Oryctolagus cuniculus: one gene and its partners. The protein of the gene in region 1 purifies or fractionates together with the protein of each later gene. This does not show direct contact. Links are inferred from orthologs where the notes say so. Each region holds a gene or a part of one and is shown on either strand. Other genes may lie near its edges.

Region 1 (3,886 bases):
CCAATACAGAAACCACTAGCCACATGTAGCTATTGAAATTTTAATTAACATCCAATACAATTTTAAATACAGTTCTTCCATCATCCTAATTTATAGGCAGTACATGAGGCTGTGACTGCTGTATGAGGCAGTGTAGAAATAGAACATTAGAGCGTTTAACATCACAGCAGAACCTTCCCTGAGACCGCATGGTACTAGACCATTTTTCTACTAAGTATACCCTTCAGAATCTTTCGTTAGGGCCACACAAGCTTTATCCTAGTAAACAGAGTGTGCCTGTTTTGAACTTTTGTAAAAAGTCGTGTCTTCAGTATAGATTTTCTCATTTACATTTGAATTTTTGATATGACAGGGACTAAACACGAGCAGCTGCTGTATTCCTAGCAGGTCAGGATTTCCAGCATCCTTGTCTGAGCTGTTTTGTTCCAGTTTTGGGATGCCACCAAGTGATAAGTTTCGGTACTACATTTGGGTGGAAAGGTTAAAAAAATGTTTAATGAAAGGGCCAATACGTATTTCCTAACCAATTTTCCCTTCCTTGGGAACAGAACACAGTGTTATTCTGAAATTTTATGTGGAAAATTTTATAAGTGAATTTCTTGGTGTGGTTTGGTCAGAGTGTGTCCAAGACAAACTGTCCTATGGAGGATGGTGGTTTAATTTCCACAGTCAGATTTGTGCTTGGCCCTGCCATGGCTCCCCTTCATAACTCGTAAATCACCCACAGTCAGTCTCAAGTGACACACAGTTTGCTGGTCACAGGAAGTAGTCTTTTCAGTAGACAGACTTCTTAAACATACTTTGGCTTCAAAACGAAAAGATTGTGGGAGTTGAAAAGGTAGAAGACAGGGGAACCTGTTCTGTACAAAACTGTATGCTGGCCCTTGCGGTGGAATGAAATGTTGTTGATTGCGCTTCCATTGCTGTTTTTCTTGTCTGTAGTGAAGTGAGCCTTCGCCTGGAGAGGAAATGGCTGCCTCGTCGTCGTCCTCCTCGGCTGGTGGGGTCAGTGGGAGTTCTGTCACTGGATCTGGTTTCAGTGTGTCAGACCTCGCCCCACCACGGAAAGCCCTTTTCACCTACCCCAAAGGAGCTGGAGAGATGTTAGAAGGTGATCTCATGCTGCTTTTTGCTGAATAATTTGCCTTAGACCTGCAGTGAATATTAATTGTAAAGAAGCTTTTAAATGGATTTGAGATCAGTTTGTCCTGATTTCAGCTCTACGTTTCATCTCTTGTTCCCATCTCAAAATAGTATCTTTAAAAACAAATCTTGCTCCATAGTCACAATTTAGGAGCTGAAAAAAAGACTTTGGAAATCAAGGAGGTCATCCAGAGTTATTTAGATCCAGAAGAGTTAAGTTATTTGACCACGTTAAAGGAAGCCGGCACTAGAACCAGCAATTCTTTTAGCTTCCTTCTCCAGTTTGCCTTATCTTTGCACCCATCTACCTCTTCTTGGTGGGAGGTTCATGGTATTTTTTCCTACTATAATTAATCTACAGAAAGAGCATCCCATCAGAGAGGGTCTAAGAGAAAATAATAGCTATCACCCTGCTCTTTAACAAGGAGATGACCCTTCTGGCCCCCTGAAGGCCCCAGAGCCAGGTGTACATGCAGTCATCCACCATCCTGTTGAGCACACAGACTGGCTGGCCAAGATCCAGTATGGGCTGTAAGCATAAAGCCATGTTGGTAGCTGCAGTTCATCAGATTCATGTCAATATTAGGAGCTTGACTAATAGCATCAAAAATCACTTGAAGAGCTTTTTTTAAAATACACATTTATAGACAGGCTTTTGGCCTAGAGGTTAATGATACCTGCATCCCATAGCAGAGTACCTGGGTTCGAGGCTCAGCTTCACTCCCAGTTCCACCTTTCTGCTATGGTGTACTTTGAAGGTAGCACATGATAGCATAAGTATTTGGGTTGCCACCACTCGTGAAGGAGAGCTAGATTGAGTTCCCAGCTCTCAGCTTCAGCCCCTTTCCAGTACTGGCCATTGTGGTCATTTAGGGAGTGAACCAGTGAATGCAAGTGCTCTCACAAATCAAAAATAATAGTAACATATTTCTGGGCCTTGTGTATAGATTCTTAGCATAGCACAAGAATCCTCATTTTGACCAATGTCCAGGACCCTCTCATAAGGATAGTCTTCTCATTTTTTTTCTTTTTTTAAGTATTATTTATTTGGAAGGCAGCATTACAGAGAGAGAGAAAGACAGATCCAGATCTTACATCCACTGGTGGCAGTGATCTTACTGCCAAGGTGGCCACAACTGCCGGAACAGGGCCATGGTGAAGCCAGAAGCCTGGAGTTCCATCGAGGTCTGTCATTTGTGTGGCAGGGCCCAAGCACGTGGGCTGTCTTTCACTGCCTTCCCAGACACATTAGCATGGGGCTGGATCAGAAGTGGAGCAGCCAGGACTCCAATCAGTGCTCATATGGGATGCCAGCATCACAGGCAGCTGCTTCACCTCTTGTACCACAGTGCCAGCCCCTTATCATATTCTGAAAAACATTGACAAAGAACATCTGGACACCAGTTGGAATCCCGGCTGCTCCACTTCTGATCCAGCTCAGACTGGCACAGTCCCGGCTATTGCAGCCATTTGTGGAGTGAGCCAATGAATGCAAAATCTGTCTGTGTCCATCTCTCCCTCTCTCTAACATTGCCTTCCAAATAAATAAATCTTTTTTTTTACATTCTTTTTTTTATTTTATTTTATTTTATTTTTTTGACAGGCAGAGTGGACAGTGAGAGAGAGAGACAGAGAGAAAGGTCTTCCTTTTGCCGTTGGTTCACTCTCCAATGGCTGGCACGCTGCGGCCGGCGCACCGCGCTGATCCGATGGCAGGAGCCAGGTGCTTCTCCTGGTCTCCCATGGGGTATAGGGCCCAAGCACTTGGGCCATCCTCCACTGCACTCCCTGGCCACAGCAGAGAGCTGGCTTGCAAGAGGGGCAACCGGGACAGAATCCGGTGTCCCGACTGGGACTAGAATCCGGTGTGCCGGTGCCGCAAGGCGGAGGATTAGCCTAGTGAGCTGCGGCGCCGGCCAAATAAATAAATCTTTTTAAGAAAATCTACTTGATGCTAGTTTTGAAACTTATTTATATATTTACCTTTTTGCCTGAAATACTACAAATTTACATAAATATATAATTTATTTATTTATTTGAGAGGTAGAGTTAAAGACAGTGAGAGGGAGAGACAGAAAGGTCTTCCATCTGTTGGTTTACTCCCCATTTGGCCACAACGGCCATAGCTGCGCCAGTCTGAAGCTAGGAGCCAGATGCTTCTTCCTGGTCTCTTATGTGGGTGCAGGGGCCCAAGGACTTGGGCCACCTTCTGCTGCTTTCCCAGGCCACAGCAGAGAGCTGGACTGGAAGAGGAGCAGCCAGGACAGAATCCAGCGCCCCAACCGGGACTAGAACCCGATGTGCTGGCGCTGCAGGCAAAGGATTAGCCAAGTGAGCTGCGATGCGGGCTGCATCAGTAACTTAAAGCTACTTATACTTAAAGACAGACTATGGAAAATAATGCAGAGATTGCAACCTCTGAACTCTCCTAAGTCAAACCAAGAATATTAAATTGGGGAAAGGCATTTGGCCTAGCAGGTAAGACACTGGTCAGGATGCCTGTTTCCTAGACTGAGTGCTGGTTTGAGTCCTGGCCCCACCCACGATCCTAGCACTCTGCTAACATGCACCCTGTGAGGCCCTTGAGTCCTGCCGCTTCCACGGGATGGAGTTCCCAGCTACCAGCTTTCGCCTGACTTCTCAACTCTGGTCAGTGTGAGCATTTGGGGAATGAACTGACAGATGGGATCTCGCATGTCTGTTTCTCCCCTCCCCTGACCCCCCCCCCCCACGCGCGCCTTTT
Region 2 (3,986 bases), on another chromosome or scaffold:
CAACCCTCACTAGACTTGGCTTAGTCTGTCACAAAACTCAGACACTCCTTCCTCGCTGATAATGCAAACGAATGCGATAGGAAGTACAATGTATCACCTATGGAATCTTCCTCCTCCCCCACCAAAAAAAAAGGTAGATTCTACCGCTGTTCAAAAGAACCTTCTGCAATTATGTAACAATTTTACAGCTGCACTGTTCAAACAGTAACCACGGGAGGAGCTGCAGCTGTACCAAGCACTATGCAATGCAGAACTGGACTGTGTGCTCTGCCATGTTAATCAGCGTACCCGCTGCAGCTGGCTAGGCGGAGGTGCAATTCCAGGGGACCCAAGCACACCTCGGGAGGCAAACAGGTCAGTGTAGAACAGCAGAAAGAGGCCAGAGAGCCGTTTGCAGGTAGGATTTAAAAGGTCTATCAGTCAAGCACACAGGGAGATCTCGGGGTGAGACCTGGGATCAACTACACACAGGGATGGGGCAGCTGAAGAAACCCGAGCCCCGCGGAGGCCCACAGTAGGGAATTCTGATCTCCACAGGTGTGAGAGTTCTGTGGCTTTGTGCAACTGCAGAAACCAACCTAGCTCTTGGGGGCGGAGGGGAGGGCTAACATAAACCAGAAATTCAATGCCTGCAACTTTGAGGTCCATGTTGCTTTTTGCAAGCCGACAGCGTGCGTGCGGAGCAGGAAGGTAGCCGTGAGAGTGGCCCACACAGAGGAGCGCGGGGACTAATCGACCTAAACAACCCTTAGAAGCGAGTTTATGAACTTGACTCGCACGGGCTGCAGAGGGCAGTGTCTAGGTGGTTACACATCTCTAGCCCATTCCAGTTTCAGGGCCTTGCTAACTAGCAAGGAGCTCAGCAGGAAAACCAAGGGCACCGCCTTCCGAGCAAGCGAACACAGACTCGATCACCAAGCTACATCCGTTAAAGATTCAGTATGCAGCCCGTGTCGCTCCTGGTTTCCTCTTCGTAAACTCAAACTACACGGGGAGCAAAACTGTGCAAACGCGGGGCGTCTGAAGCCGACATCGGGGGTCCGACCCTGGGCTCGGGGGAAGCTGCTTCGTGCAGCCCTAAACGAACAGGAGCTTCCGCCACTGTCCCAGGGCCGCCAGGGCACCGCAGATCCAGCCCCAGGAGCCTGGTCGTGTAGGGCGTTACTGAGCAACCGCTCCAAGCCATTTCCTTCTATGTGAATATGAACGTCGAGGGCGGCCTGCCTCCTCCAACCCCGCCGACGCCACCCTGCAGCCTCCCCGCGCAGGGAGCACTCCACGCAGCGGCGCCCGAGCCCGCGACCCCCCTCCGGCCGGCCTGCGGGCCACGGCTGACCTCCCCGCAGGGCCGCACGCCACCGCGGACTGGGCCACGGCCGCCTTCGCGGGGCCACAAGGCGTGGGCGGGCAGGCCGAGGGGCGCCCCTGGTGGCCGGCGGGCTGCTGCAGAAGCCAGTCCCGGGCCATGCGGCCGCGCGGCTGGGGGCACCAGGTTGGCCAGGGCCTCCGGACCAGGACACGCCCGCCCCTCGCAGGGGCCTAGGTCCCCACTGGCGGTTACCCAGCGGCCGCCGCGAGCGCGCCCGTGGCCTTCCCGTCGTTACCTCGGGACGGGCCCGCGCACGCGCGGCGCCGCCGATCTTACGTCCTCCCTCTGCCGCCGACACGTTCGTTCCGCCCACTGCCGCCTCACCCCCCCCCCAACCCGGACCGCCCCTCCGCGCGCATAAATGGGCTCACCCACATCCGGGGATCTGGGAGACGGGCGAACGGGTCACGTGGTGCCGGGGTGTGGCCGGGAGGAAGCGCTGCTGCTTTGGGCCGGGTGCTGGTAAGAGTTTCCTGCGTTCGTGGCGCGGGTCTTGGTGTGACGGGGTCGAGTGCAGCGGCCGCGGCCGATGCCTTCACCTCACCCTTGGAGTGTGGCGGGCTGGAAGGCCCTGACGTGGCGGCCCCAGACCTCCCCCTCCTGGTTTCCCCAGTTGGTAGCGCCCGCCTCGGGCCGGAAGCCGTGGTTGTGGGTTGGCCTTCCCGGTACGGTGGCCTGCGAGGGTCATTTGTAGCGCCACAGAAAAGCTGGGGTGGTGTTTTGTCTTTGATCGTGTAAATGCTTAGTCACAAAGCTTTGGGAGACAGAGATGGACAAGACGTGCCCCTGTCGCAGGGAAGGCACGCACTGTCTGTCTCCCTTGTTGGCGCCAGGCACGGCGCCCCCAGGACAAGTAGGGCTGGTTGGCACACTGGTCAGCGGTGGCCCTCTGGCCGGTGCGGAGAGTGGTGTGACGGGAATTTGTTGATCAGGGCCGGGGTTCCCGTGAGGCATGCAGAACGGAGCCTAGCCTTGCTGTAGAGGTGGTGATTTAATCCTGAGTCCTGGGTCTGGGGTCCGGGTCCGGGGCGGGGGGCAACCTAGCCCGGACACCATTCCCTGCATGCAGTGGGTTCACCTGAAGTCGCCAGACTGCAGGCCAGCGGGGAAGGCGAGGTCTGATGCAGAGGCGCTAGGGGCAGGATTTCAGAGCGGGAGAGTGGGACTGGGCGGGCGGTGTTTGCGGACAGGTGGAAGAGACCTGCTGGGGGATCCTGGTGCAGGATTTGCACCTGCAGCCAGACAGGCGTGCCCGAGCCGCGGGCCGCAGAGCTGAGCTCGCTTGTGTCTGGATGAGTCAGGACCGAGGTCTCCGGAAGCTTTTATAGGAGGGGGCTCTGCGAGGGCCTGGGAAAACCAGCAAAGGGGACAGACTGCACCGCATATAACTGCACCTGAGCCTCAGGAGCCCTGAAGACAGGCTCCTTCAACGAGTCGCCGCGTGGTCCTGGGCCAGCCTTGGGGCCCCACGCGGCTTGCTGGTAGCGGAAGGAGCGCCTTTGCCGCAGTTCTGCCCGTTCACCGAGGTTAGAAACCTCTCCGCACCCCGACGCGGGTAGAATTACGGTCCAGGGGTTAGGAGCCGTCTTGCTGTTAGGAGAGCAGAGGCCCGTGGATGGAGTGGGATCCCGCCGCCCGCCGAGGTTTTCTGTGTGCGCCTCCGCAGTGTCAGATGCCGGGAGGGCCTGAGGGCGCCTTTGGTCCAGTGGAGTGCGGGCCGTTGGGATTAACGTGGAGGAACGCTAGCGATGAGGGAACCTGCCAGCCAGGCCTCTGCATGAGGTTGCAGCTGCTCAGGGGACAATGAGGCTGGCAGGAGGCATCTGTGCACTGAGTGCAGCTGGGAGTGGGGAGATACCATGGTCCCTGAGAGGGGGGAGGGAGACACCATCGTCACTGAAGGGCGGGGGGGAGATACCGTGGTTACTGAGGGGGGTATACCATGGTCCCTGAGAGGGGGCAGGGAGACACCATCCTCACTGAAGAGCATGGGGAGAGGGGATGGGAGGGGAGATACCATGGTCCTTGAGAAGGGGGAGTGGGGAGATACCATGGTCGCTGAGGGGGGCGGGATGGAGATACCCTGGTCTCAGAGTGGGGGAGCAGCCTGGGATGCCCCAGTTGCTCACCTGGAGGTGCCCCTCTCGGAGCTCGGCCGGGCCACTGTTTTAGGAAGGAAGCAAGCTTTCCGACGCTCTCGCCGTCCCTGGCCTGAGGCCTTGCGGCAGGCCTGTCCTGGCCACGTCCTAAGGTGTGAGCTGAGCGCGTGCAGTGCGCTCCTGTGCTGAGGTTTGAATCGGGGCAGGTGCAGACGGATGGATGAGTCTGTCCAGAGGCGCTCACTGCACAGCGTTTGTCGGCTGACCGGGCGCAGGAACTCTGGTTTTTAAGTTGTCACTTGACCGCCTGGAAGAGGACCTCTTCCTGCCTTCACGGGAGGCTCGGGAATGCCTGGGCAGTGCTGGTGCTAAGTCCACATCTTTCCTGCCGTCCCGTTTCAGAAGGAACCCCTTGGCGTCCGGCTCCGCCGAGATCAAAGCCACGGGAACATGGACAGTGAGGTGCAGCGGGATGGAAGGATCTTGGATCTCATCGACGACGCTTGGCGGGAAGACAA
Region 3 (3,886 bases), on another chromosome or scaffold:
CCTATTCAATCACTCTCTGGAGAGCTGGAGAGGACTTTTAAAAAACTAAAGCTATAGGAGCAAGTGCTTGGCACAGGGGTTAAAGAGCTGCCTTGGGTGTCCATATCCTGGACTTGAGTCCTGGCTCCACTCTGATTTCCGCTTTCTGCCTCTGCACAACATGGGAGACAGCAGCGGATGGTTCAAGTAGCTGGGTCCCCGCCTCCCCCGTGAGATGTGTGGATTGAGTTTCCAGCTCCCAGGCATTTTAGGGAGTGAACCAGTGGATGGCAGCTCGCTCTCTCTCAAATAAGGTAAACTTTTAAGAAACAAATCAAAATTAAAAAAATAAATAAAGCTATGTAACGATATGGCCAAGATGGAGAACTACTAGCCTGCACATCAGGCCCTCCATGAACGCAGGTAGAGAATGATCTATACCTAGAATGGCATCCAGGGCTAAAGGGCACTGCCGCAGCACCTCCTTATAGCTGGTGACTGAAGGGCGCTCCTGACCAGCCTTCTTGTACAAATTTGCCAGCATCATGTTTATCTGTATAAAAAAATAAAATAAAGGACAGCAAGTTACATGCATAGTGCCATGAAAAAGTCCTGTTTTTTACTACCAGATACTCTACTGTTTTTTTTACTGGACAACCTACCACAGCCTTCTACAAATAAACAAAGAACAAGCCCATTCATCAAAATGAAGAAGAAACTACTACACTTTCTTTTCCTAGGTACTCCCATCTCTAAGAGGAAAGTCTCATTACCCTCTCACTTACCTAACCAAGAGGCCCAGTATTACCCTGGCCAAAGATGCTGCCTCTGGAAACAAGAACTGCATTCATTTGAGGAATGTCCTAGAATTCTAGTTACCATGATTCTTTTTTGATCTTAAGATAGAGGATGAACTACCCCAAACTGCTAAATTCTGTACATTTTAAATTGAATTACTATTAAGGGATAAGAAAATGAGGACCTGTTAACATAGCTAGTTAAGAAGAATCAGACACATTCTCCCCAGAGGAAATGACAGATAGAGAGGTGTGATACTTGGCTTCTCCCTGACAATGAGACCAATGGCTGGACTCTACCCTAACACTTAAAGCTCTGACATGTGGGTACTATCTGACTCACCAAAGTAACACTATAAAAACCAGATTCAAACTGACCTCCAGAGGCGATCCATGATTAGATATATGATTTAAATCCAGAGTGCAGACATCTGTTTTTTGGCACAATTTAAGTAGATAACTTTGGGGCCAGCATTGTGGTGCAGCAGGTTCAACTACGACTTGTGAGGCTAGCAGCTCACACAGTCCAAGTGCTTGGGTCTCCACCCATGTGGGAGACCAGATGGAGCTCCTAGCTCCTGGCCTTGGCATGGCCCAGGTCTGACTGGCAGCCACTTGAGGAGTGAACCAGCAGATGGAAGATCAGTCTGTTTCTCTCTCATTCTTAGTCTTTTTCTCTGTCACTCTGCCTTTCAAATAAATACATACTTACAAAAATAGACAGATACATATTTAGTAAAACTATATCAATGCTAATTCTCTGTAAAAACCACAGCAGGAAGAATTTGAGGAAATCTCAAAGTTCCAAAGAATGTAGAAGTTACAGAGAAGGGATAAATGATCTCACTAGTGCAAAGAGAAGACAATGTTCCAATTTTAAATTAATAGATCTTAAATATAGAAAGTGTTTGGCAGATCATTAACTGAAGGAAGCAGTCAACATGAGGGCACAAAAGAAAAAAAAAGTCAACCGCAATCTCTTCAGTTATCTGTGGTTCTGCATGCCAGACATTTCCTCAAGGGGTAAACACTCTGAGGATTAAGAACATCTCTTCTCATCAGAGACCTGCATTAGATTAAACAATCCAGTACAGAACTAATCCACACTAATTCAAACAGTAAAGTAATGAAATACTAGAAACAGAAGATTTTCACTTGGCCTCAGATTTTCCATTTTAGGCTATTTTGAAAATGCAAAGGAAGGTACTTAAAGGAAAACTCCAGTATCGGTGTCAATATTAAAAAAAAAAAAAAAGTTGAATTTAAGATCGTTTCTTGACTACTTGTTATTAAAAAGCTATGACAGATGGACCGGATGTTTGAACATCAGAATTTCCTTTAAGCTACTTGACCATCACTGAAAGAATGAGTTCTGAGTACTACTTAGTGAAAAAATCAATTTTCTTAAAAGGTAATTGTTATCTGGGACCATCATAAAGCCACATTTCACCAGCTATAAACTCAAGCAGTCATCATTTTCCAAAAACTAAGTGAGACATTGTACGTTTACTCTTGAAAATTTACCAAGATACAATAATCTTAACACTGGAATTTTCCTTTAACTTATGAGGGAATGTGTGGCGGTGTTTACCATACATTAACAGATGTTCAATTAGACGTATTTTTGACTCACTTCCTTGTCCTTTACACAGACTGAGAAGCCAGTTAACTCCCTAACAGACAAGAAAGAAAAACTGTAAATATTTTAGGTTTATGTTTGAGGCACACATCTTTGTTTGCTCCTGACTACAAGAGTTCAACTGAGAGAAGAATCTGCCCTCCTAACACACAGACTCCTCGAGCCCCTCCTGAAGTGATGGCTGTAGACATTAAGAACTGGGTACCACAAAGCTGAGCTGCTTTGCCAGTAACCCACTTTCTAAAAATGTCCTTCCAAAGCTGGCAAGTCACTGAGGAAACCATGGCACATTTCTAGTGAGACAAGCAACAGTTCATTCAAAATTATCAAAATGGCTTCTTCCAAAAGGAAGACATCTTGAGCATAGGAACAGACACAAAAATTCTGAGGGTAAGAAAAGACTTTTAGACGTTACAACAACACAATTTACTATACAGGACCCAAATACAGTTCCAAGTATTTTTATTAGCAGTAACCTTCATAAATTAGATGGAAGAAATAACTTAAATTTTAAAAACTTAGAAAATAGTAAATAATTCCTTAATACAAGGAAGTCTAAAAACACAGTTCTCAAGAAGTTCTGCTATTTTTAAAATTCAGCAACACTTGAATAAAGCAGCAGTAACTAAAATGCCCCAGATCCCCCTTGCTTAGATTCCTTGCCTTGTAAGGGCAGGAGGATGAACACAAACATCTTACCTGGAAAATTCCTTATTGCTAAGCACAAGCGCCACAGAACAGTTTTTCAATAAAATAAGAAGGGCAGGAGATATGAGTATATGTTAGAGTATTAAATATTGATATGAATTTGAACCTATGAGTAGATTCTCACTGTTCTTCTAAAATGGATTAAAAAAAAAAAAAACTGATGCCCAATATATTATGCCAGGCACTGTGGTGCAGCGGGTTATGCCACCCCTTCGGTCACGCACATCTCATACTGGAGTGCCTGGGTTGGAGTCCCAACTACTCTGTCCAACCTGGGAGGCAGCAGATGGCCCAAGTATTTGAGATCCTCCCACCCACACTGGAAACAGATGGAGTTCCTGACTCCTGGCTTCATCCTACCCAGACCTAGATGTTGCAGGTATTTGGGGGGTAAACCAGAGGATGAAGGATCTGTCACTCTATCTTTCAAATAAAGAAAGCTTTAAAAAGAAAAAGAAAAAGATGTCCAATATATTTGACACCAGGTTCAGGTGTCTACTTGTTTCCTGCTTAGGAGAATGGCTCTAGTAATTGGGTTCCTGCCATCCACAGGAAACTGGGATTGAGTTCCTGGCTCTCTGGGATAGTTTCTGGCAGCCAGCTTTGCTGTCCCTTCCCCACCCACTGTGGGCACCTGAGGAGTGAACCAGGAATAAGAGCTATGTCTGTCTCTTATAGTAAAAAAATACTATTATCCTGGCCAGCGCCGCGGCTCACTAGGCTAATCCTCCACCTAGCGGCGCCGGCACACCGGGTTCTAGTC

Evidence for each region.
Region 2: the proteins of ANAPC16 (region 1) and ANAPC13 purify together in Homo sapiens (affinity purification with mass spectrometry; 3 studies listed by BioGRID and IntAct, counting the BioPlex papers as one, with this or other methods). This does not show direct contact. The link is inferred for Oryctolagus cuniculus from reciprocal best matches to the Homo sapiens genes ANAPC16 and ANAPC13.
Region 3: the proteins of ANAPC16 (region 1) and ANAPC7 purify together in Homo sapiens (affinity purification with mass spectrometry; 6 studies listed by BioGRID and IntAct, with this or other methods). This does not show direct contact. The link is inferred for Oryctolagus cuniculus from reciprocal best matches to the Homo sapiens genes ANAPC16 and ANAPC7.

Annotation. Positions count from the first base shown.
Region 1 is NC_091446.1:63,342,855-63,346,740, forward strand, and holds part of ANAPC16 (anaphase-promoting complex subunit 16), read left to right. Parts: intron 1-942; 5' UTR 943-969; coding exon 970-1,111; intron 1,112-3,886. UniProt on the Homo sapiens protein: Component of the anaphase promoting complex/cyclosome (APC/C), a cell cycle-regulated E3 ubiquitin ligase that controls progression through mitosis and the G1 phase of the cell cycle.
Region 2 is NC_091435.1:146,958,552-146,962,537, forward strand, and holds the start of ANAPC13 (anaphase-promoting complex subunit 13), read left to right. Parts: upstream 1-1,626; 5' UTR 1,627-1,831; exon of another isoform or gene 1,832-1,872; intron 1,873-2,010; exon of another isoform or gene 2,011-2,895; intron 2,896-3,870; 5' UTR 3,871-3,918; coding exon 3,919-3,986. Other genes in the region: CEP63 (centrosomal protein of 63 kDa), read right to left, coding at 1,337-1,467. UniProt on the Homo sapiens protein: Component of the anaphase promoting complex/cyclosome (APC/C), a cell cycle-regulated E3 ubiquitin ligase that controls progression through mitosis and the G1 phase of the cell cycle.
Region 3 is NC_091452.1:8,069,521-8,073,406, forward strand, and holds part of ANAPC7 (anaphase-promoting complex subunit 7), read right to left. Parts: intron 2,450-3,886; coding exon of another isoform or gene 2,410-2,449; intron 533-2,409; coding exon 421-532; intron 1-420. UniProt on the Homo sapiens protein: Component of the anaphase promoting complex/cyclosome (APC/C), a cell cycle-regulated E3 ubiquitin ligase that controls progression through mitosis and the G1 phase of the cell cycle.